Neurospora crassa OR74A: one gene and its partner. The protein of the gene in region 2 purifies or fractionates together with the protein of the main gene of each other region. This does not show direct contact. Links are inferred from orthologs where the notes say so. Each region holds a gene or a part of one and is shown on either strand. Other genes may lie near its edges.

Evidence for each region.
Region 1: the proteins of NCU02007 (region 2) and acp-1 purify together in Saccharomyces cerevisiae (affinity purification with mass spectrometry; 4 studies listed by BioGRID, with this or other methods). This does not show direct contact. The link is inferred for Neurospora crassa OR74A from reciprocal best matches to the Saccharomyces cerevisiae genes ISD11 and ACP1.

What each region holds. Positions count from the first base shown.
Region 1 is NC_026506.1:4,098,415-4,102,890, reverse strand, and holds acp-1 (acp-1), read right to left. Parts: upstream 2,867-4,476; 5' UTR 2,531-2,866; coding exon 2,321-2,530; intron 1,729-2,320; coding exon 1,711-1,728; intron 1,493-1,710; coding exon 1,412-1,492; intron 1,257-1,411; coding exon 1,161-1,256; 3' UTR 697-1,160; downstream 1-696. Other genes in the region: nuo21.3c (NADH-quinone oxidoreductase chain I), read right to left, coding at 3,454-3,530, 3,637-3,956, 4,251-4,476. UniProt on the Saccharomyces cerevisiae protein: Carrier of the growing fatty acid chain in fatty acid biosynthesis. May be involved in the synthesis of very-long-chain fatty acids.
Region 2 is NC_026501.1:1,696,224-1,699,664, reverse strand, and holds NCU02007 (iron-sulfur cluster biosynthesis protein Isd11), read right to left. Parts: upstream 1,882-3,441; 5' UTR 1,676-1,881; coding exon 1,625-1,675; intron 1,526-1,624; coding exon 1,361-1,525; intron 1,298-1,360; coding exon 1,235-1,297; intron 1,178-1,234; coding exon 1,134-1,177; intron 1,071-1,133; coding exon 1,061-1,070; 3' UTR 803-1,060; downstream 1-802. Other genes in the region: NCU02008 (hypothetical protein), read right to left, coding at 2,483-2,727, 3,061-3,223.

The DNA of each region.
Region 1 (4,476 bases), on a different chromosome or scaffold from region 2:
CTCACTGAGCCCCTCGCTCGGCGTCTTGTACGCACACACTATAAAGGCAGGTTAACCGAAGTGGATGGAGTCGATACTATTGAGATTCCCAGGAGTGAATGAACGAATCAATGCCTCCTAAACAAAGAGAGAGAAAAAAAGAATTAAAAAAAAAATTTGTAAAATATATAAAAAATAAAAGATAGAAAGAAAACAAGACGAAGAGGAAAATAAAGGAAAGAATATCGGTTGGTACGGAGCCCAGTTTTAGCTTGAGGTAGGTACCGAACAATTCTGGCTTTACGTGATCTTGAGGGCAAGTTTCTGAGGTGGTGGTGAATACATGCATACCTTAAGGTAGGTATCTTCATGCCGCGATCTAAATATTGAAGTGGGACATTTAAAGGACCAGACATACTCCGTCGTAGTATCAAGGATCTCTCGTCGGTCACATCTTCTTCACTTGGTCACGCAACAAAGTTGACATTTTCTCTTGAGAAATACCACGTATCTATTCAGTTTAAAGGTAGATACATCTAGATACCCAGTCAGATGGTTTCTCCTGGTTCGCCAACTTCGCTCGATTCAGGTACTGGTCTGTGTTTGTTGAACTGAGCAGTGATCAGACAGGAAGACATATAAACCCAGGCCTTCAAGTTGAGTGCGCTCCAGTCATGATTGTTCTCTTTACCTGAAAGGGGGGGGGGGGGGGTATGTAAGTAGTGTGTAGGTACGGATATAGGCGACAAACAAAACACAACGCAACAGCACAAGAGTTGACACCAACGCTATATTGAGCCTGCCACAATACCACTTTAGTGACCACCAAACATTGCAACGTGTCGCCGCGTTGACCAACCCAGACTAACCACTCTGACAATGATAACAACATCAAGACCAAGTCCGACCTGCCCACAATTCACATCTAGCCCGTACCCATCACGATGCTCCATTCCATTCGTCATCTCTTCTTTCATTCAGGTTCTAAGTTTTCGTATGGTACACAGATCGAATCGAATCCCAAACAATGACAAAGATATGTTTCGAATCGACCTAGTTAAGGATAAAGATAGAGGTGAAAAGGTAAGGTGGGTAGGTAGGGAGAAGAAGTATGCTTTATATTTGCGCAAGTAGTGGGGTTTCTAAAACGCTCGAACAAGGAACGAAACAGAGGACTTTTTTTAGTTGGCATCGGGCTGGCTGAGGATGTACTCGACGGCCTTGTCGACCGAGTGGATCTGGTCGGCGTCCTTGTCGGGGATCTCGATGGAGAACTCCTGTTGCGGGTAGGTTTGTTAGCATCGTGTTTGGCGTCCATGTGCTATGACTGTGTTTGGGTTGAAGGGTGATTGTGATAAGAGGCTGAGCTTGGGCCGAAAAGGGAATATGACAAGGGCCCGGAATAAAAAGAAAAAAAAAGGGAGCAACATACCTCCTCAATAGCCATAACAACCTCAACGGTGTCCAAGCTGTCAAGACCGAGGTCGTTGGCGAAGTGGGCGGTCTCGGTGATCTGTGATGCGCAAACTTGTGTCAGAATCTCTCATCCCTGTATCTTTGGTCTCGTTCCATTGCATCTATTCTTGCGGTTTGCCCGTCTCGTCTCTCCTTCCAGACTGTCAGGCCGGGAGCACCAGGGCACTGGGATTGACCCATCATGACCAAAAATCACATCATAGTTCGTCTCCGTGACGGTGAGGAGGAAATGTTGGTGTTTGCGTCTGTACTTACGTTCTTGGGGTCGTTGACCTGGAAAGTAGATGTTAGCTTGGGCCTGGAAAAAGGTTGCGAACACGGGACTGTTGTGGCTTCTGAAGAAGAGGCTGGAGGAGAGGGGAGATCCAGCCGAGGTAAGGAAGAAAGAAGAGCAAGAGACAAGAAGTTGACCAGCAAGATAGCAAGAGGAGGAGGGCAAAAAAGCGAGGGGAGAGCATCATCATCGGAGCAGAACCAGCCCAGCCGGCAGGGCAGACCCATTCGAAGAGCTCCCAAGTTCCCGATAAATCCGACCATGGCGCAGCGTGTGGAGCACGCAGTGCTCTTCATCGTATTCCATCTCGTTTTGTCGCGTCTGCGCAGCCTTGATATGCTCTTCGCATCTTTTTGGTCTTCCTCCGTTTGTGTTCTGTTGTCCGGCTGGTTTGCTTGCGATGATGATGCTCCCCCGCACGCTCTCTCCTCTTGTCTTCGCGTAGCGTATGTCCCTAGACCACTCGTATCCCTCTGCCTCTTCACACCTCTTTCTTATCTCCTTCCTTTCTTCTGCTCCTCCTCCTCATCCTCCTGCTCGAAGTTTGTATGCATGTCGTGTCGGGTAGGTCTCTTGTGATGTAAAACGCACCTTGTCAAATCCACTCAACACCTGCGCAATCCTGCTAAAGACCTCATCCTTCTTGAGATGACCACCGGCGCTGTAAAACCGGACAGCCTGGAAGGCAGCGACCTTGGGGACGGCCTGGACAAAAGCAGGACGGGCAACACCAGCGCGGACGGCGGAGGCGACGGCGGGACGGGCCACGCGGGCGGCAGTGAGGGCGGCGGTGCGGAACATTTTTTGTTTTGTTTGGGTGGGCTGTCGCGGAAAGTGTCAATTGCGCGGGTCGGTCGGGTGTTTGAGGGTCGGTGGTGGTGACAGGAAAGGCTGTGGCCGAAAATGAGTGTGACGCTACTACTCGGTGGTTCTCGGACGAGGTTGTTGCGGGTTTCTCTGGCTGGAAGCGGATTTCTGGGCGGTGGTTGGCTGGAATCAGCGATGATGATGATAAATTTCTCGCCTACTGCCTATGGTACGCCGGGGGCGCGGGAAGCGGGTGCGGGCAACTGCGGGCGGCGGCGGCCAACGAAGCTAACAAACCCGCCTCTGACTCTGGAGCTTCAGCGTGTGGAGGTACCTTGGTACGTACAACCTCGATGCTCCCCCGCAACTGCAGCCATGGAAGCTTCAGCTCGTTCTGCTACTCGTCAGCCGAGTCACGTGCAGGTCGCTCAGGTACCGTCTTGTACACTGCGGAGAAATGTGTCAAGCAGATACTCCACTAACACCCCACGGGCAGGATCACTCCACTCGTCTGTTAGACGGGTAATCCCGGTTGATGGATACGATGGGATGGAGTTCATCACGATACAGCTTGTATCTTACAGATGGTACCGTACACTAATTGTACATTCAGCCTTTCAAGCATCTTTAGGTTTCTTGATGCGTCCCTTTGGCCGCATATAGGATCTTCCCTGGCGAGATGACTTTCAAAAAGACAAGAAGTTGGATGAGGGACGCAATTCACAAATGTATCTACAGCCTTCTTTTGCCTGTCCGCCTGCCTGCCTGCCTGCCTTCTATAACACAATGGTGCGTCCTGTTGATACCGCAACCCGTCCGAAACTGCTGGTTCCGAAACTCTAGCATAGCAACAACGAAAAAAAGAATCTCTGTCTTCATTGTCCGTCCTGTTATCCGGTCTTCAAGCCACAACCCCTTTATCTGTAAGGTGAATCGGCGCGAATAGCAGCCGCAAGCTCAGGCTCCCACTTGTCTCCGTTAGAGAGTAGCTTTTCTGTATCTGTTGTCAGCACATGTCATATTTTCCTGGCCCCCCGACAGCAAGAACCTATCTCCAGCCAGCACCAGGTTATCACGGCATCCCCCAGAAAAGAACTCACCCTTGTTATACAACAACTCCTCCCTCGTCTCCGTTGCGTACTCCGCATTGGGACTCTCCACAATCGCATCCACGGGACAGCTCTCCTGGCAGAATCCGCAGTAAATGCACTTGGTCATGTCGATATCGTAGCGGGTCGTCCTTCTGCTTCCATCGGCACGCTCTTCAGCTTCGATGGTGATGGCCTGAGCAGGGCAGACGGCCTCGCAGAGCTTGCAGGCGATGCAGCGTTCTTCGCCCGACGGGTAACGACGAAGGGCGTGCTCGCCGCGGAAGCGGGGGGAGATGGGACCCTTTTCGAAGGGGTAATAGATTGTGTACCTGGAATAGAGGTGTCAGTAAATATGGTGGTATGGGTTTGCGCAGTCGTTAGGTAGCTGTTGATCGTCGTGGTGACGGAGGAGCGGCGGGAGGAGCAGCACAGTACGAGCGCGCTTAACCAAGCGACGAGCCGCAGAGCCGCAATCTCCATACTACTCCAGTGCGCGAGTCATGATACTTGTCATGTCGTGGATCCTGCCCACCTCCTCACCCCAGATCCTTCCAACTTCCACCACTCACCACCTCCTATCCTCCCAAGCCAGCAAACAGACAAAAGACAGACAAGATACTTACGGCGGCCTGAAAAACTGCTCCATAGCCACATACATGCCCCTAAACATCTCCGTCAAAAGAAAGTACCGTCCGTTCTTATCCAGCACGTGTTCCTCCTCTTGGTCCCACGTCTTGGGCGTCGGAATGCGGAAGCCCTTGGGCGGGGGACCGGCGGGGGTTGCGTAGGTGCGGATGGCCTGAGAGACGAAGGAGGGGGCGATGACTCGGCGGGTGGTGAGCTGGCGCG
Region 2 (3,441 bases):
GCCCAGGCAGATAAGGACGAAACGCCAAACAAGTGTAACACCGCTGTGCCGATATCCAAAACACCAATAGCTCTATCCAAGAGGGAGGTACGTAGATGTATACTGGGGACCGCAGAACAGATGGTCGAATATGTCTCGGTCTAATCTTGAATAGAGGTGGAGCAACGTCGGTGGGTGAGTGCAGGTCAGCGGTCCAGGGACTGCTTCTAAGTGCTGCTTGTTCTGCCGCTGTACTGTGTTGGAACCTGAATAGAAGGATGGATGATGATGAACAATAACGATGGATCGGCTGAAAGCGACTAGATGCCGGACTACGTAACGATATGGTGCAAACTATAGGTAGGTAGGTATGTGATAGAGAAAGAGAAGAGTAAGGGGAACCCGTACTGATGCAGAGGTAGCTTCCACAAGAAATCGATCCTATGCCGCCAGCTAAGAATGTTGTCAATGGAAGGATGGAAGTCGACAAGGTGCGGGATGTTGCGCGTCGCATTCAAGTCGCGGCGGCCAACCTGACACTCTCCGACAGCCTTCGATTGACTGCAGTGGCTCGTCCTGCAGTGGTCAGTCAGTGGTCGCGCGCACTGGTCGCACTGACCATGCCAATGGGACATGAATTCTCGGTAAAGCAATTTACCTTCTTAAGGCAGCCCCCACTGCCAAACCGATCTCGGATATGCAAGGAACGAGTCGATCTAGTTGCGACAAGGATTCGCAGGTTCTGACGGTGATCCGGAAAGCCGGTTATCATGGCACGACACAACCAAGACATAATCTATACCCAAGGGACCGTTCATAATTGTGCCGAATCACTGGAATTTGATATGGTAACTGATTTAAGTTAATTATCCTCTGCTATCAGAGAAGCCCCGTCGACCACCACCTTTGGACTTGTTGGCCTGCTAAATCAAAGCTGGTATTGGTATCCCGTCATCATTCCTGCAACCTCGAACAGGTGTACTCTTCGCCAACCCTTCACTCATAGTATTAAACATAGCCTTTTCTTCCCGTGTCATTCGTGCAAAGCGACTACTAAACAGGGATTTTCGTCTGCAGCCATTTAGTCCCAGCTGAGGTTCAGTTCGTTAGCAAGACAGCTCTTCTCAAATCTGCTTCTCAAGATTATAACTTACCCAGTATCCTTCTGCCTGAGCTTACCTCCTTCTTTGTCCTTACCCTGCGACTTGTTAGATCACCTCTGATCTACTCCACGGAACGGTTCAGGAAGACTTACCGAGAGCCCGCCCTCAACGACCAAGCGGTCCTGTTGGTAAAACTGGCTAATGACTGTTTGGCGCTATTCCAATGTCAACTTCTCTGTATTCTCCAAGTCGCGTCTCAGCTCGAGTGCCCGGCATACCTTGAGCATCTGAAGATTCTGTAACCCTTTCTGCACAAGTTCCTGCACCTGTCTAGGATCCTCCACGTTCTTGTTTTCCCTGAAAGCGTCTCTTGTGCGGCGCTTGGCGTATTCTCTGAAGTTGTAAGAGGAAAACTGATTTCCCTGGCGCAAAAGCTGACGATACTGTTGGTTCAAAGCAACGATGTTAGCGTTTGCGTTGTTCTAGCCCAAATACCGTTTACGATCCAGGGAAAGAAGTGCGCAGAAAGGCATGCTACATACCAGCGACAGAACTTTGCCGGCTGACTCGCCAGTCCTTGCGACGGTAGACATATCGATCAACTTCCTTTCCCGTTTCCCTCTTTTGGCCTCTGTGCTGCTTGGTGCGTACGATTTGGTATGCTCGTGCCTCGTGGAGAAACTCGTGAGTGTGGTAGGAAAAAGGTGCTGTAGAAGTCAAGGCGCCGGCGAATATGGCTCGTCGATCAGTCGTGATGATGCGTTTGCCTTCGTCAGCGTACGGCGAAAGCTCGGACGTCCGCATTTCAGATGTGGTTCGGCGACCTTGGCGCGAGTACTGGGTGGGTGGCTCGGATATGTACATACACTATGCGTAAGCATGACCGAGATCTACGGGTACTCAGCATCTTGATAAATGTATTCATTCATGTCTGTGGCATATGATGGCTTACAACGTCCTCTTCCTTCCTCTCGCCCGTTCAGTCACTTCTCGTTCACTAACCCTTCCGCTTCCGGACCTTTGTCCATCACTGCCATTTCCCAATTCATGGTTCCCGTTACAATTTTTATAATGACTGTTCGGCCCCGAGTCTTGCGCCACTGCATATTCGAATTGTTCTTTCCGGTTTCAAATGCCTCCTTGCACTCAATCAAATAGCCACAGCAAGAAGCATACTGAACACGCCGAGCACAATGCCTCTTTTTCTCAATCAAAGCACCCCGAATAAACTCAGTTCCAAGTGTTTCCATCGTGTCACCAAAAAAAAAAAAAAATGGAAGAAAAAAAATAAAAAATTCTACAGCTTCGTCACGGGCTCTCATAACCGAGCAGTCGAGCAACCAGCATCGGACTGTTCATCTTCGGTTATCCTCACAACCGCTCAGCTATCTCTCGGAGCCCTAGAGATCGGAAAGGATACGGGCGTTGAGTTCTTTCATCAAGACGAAGTTCTCAGGATTCAGCGAATGACCGGAGGCCCTTATATAAGGAGAGCCCTCCTGTACGCTGACCGGCAAAGGCATAGCCGGATCGCTTGCCTGAGCCAGTTGTCTTCTGGAGGCACCCTGCCCACCGCGAGGGATGCCCGACCAGATACAGCTTGATTTGATACTCAAGGACGCGCGCACCGGGAAGAATCCAAGATCTTAGTTGACGGGTGTTGAATGGTTAGTTTTCGAACATTATCACGTCATGCCGTGGGAAATTCACTGCTTCTGACATCAAATACACTTTATAAAGTTCATGCAAGATCGGCCATCAAATCGCGGCAAGGAGACACGGCTTTTCCGGCATATCGCGTGTCAAACCTGACGTCTTCGTGAGGCTGGAGTCCTTGGGGATCACAAGATGAACCGCATATCGGGCAGGTTGGGCTCTGCTTCAACCAGATGGGCTGCCTGATGGAAGACAACCACCAAGAAGCCTGCATGACGGCCTCGCGGTGGTCGGGGTTTAAGCAAAGCTTCTAATGGTCTACCTCCATGGTTTCCACCAGAGAAATGGCTTGATACGGCTGGGTCGCTGTACCAAAGGAATATCGACATCGGGAACTGGAAGGGTTGACATGACTGATGATGCAACCCCGGACTCCATCTTGGGTCTCGCTTTAGCTGAGCCTGCCATCGAGATCCAAAGGTCATGTTCTGGTCTCCGCGTTAACCAGCAAAACAACTTCAACCAGGATGCCTCAAACAGTCGGAGCAAGCCCAGAAAGCCCAGAAACGTGTTGAACAACTTGTCGTAACTGTATTCATACACCTTCTCGCAGCATTACAGCTCTGAATACCCTCCGTTTTGCCTGGTTGCGGGTCAGAATCAGCGGGAGCAATTGTGTACCGTGAGCAAGTAGGGGTTGCAA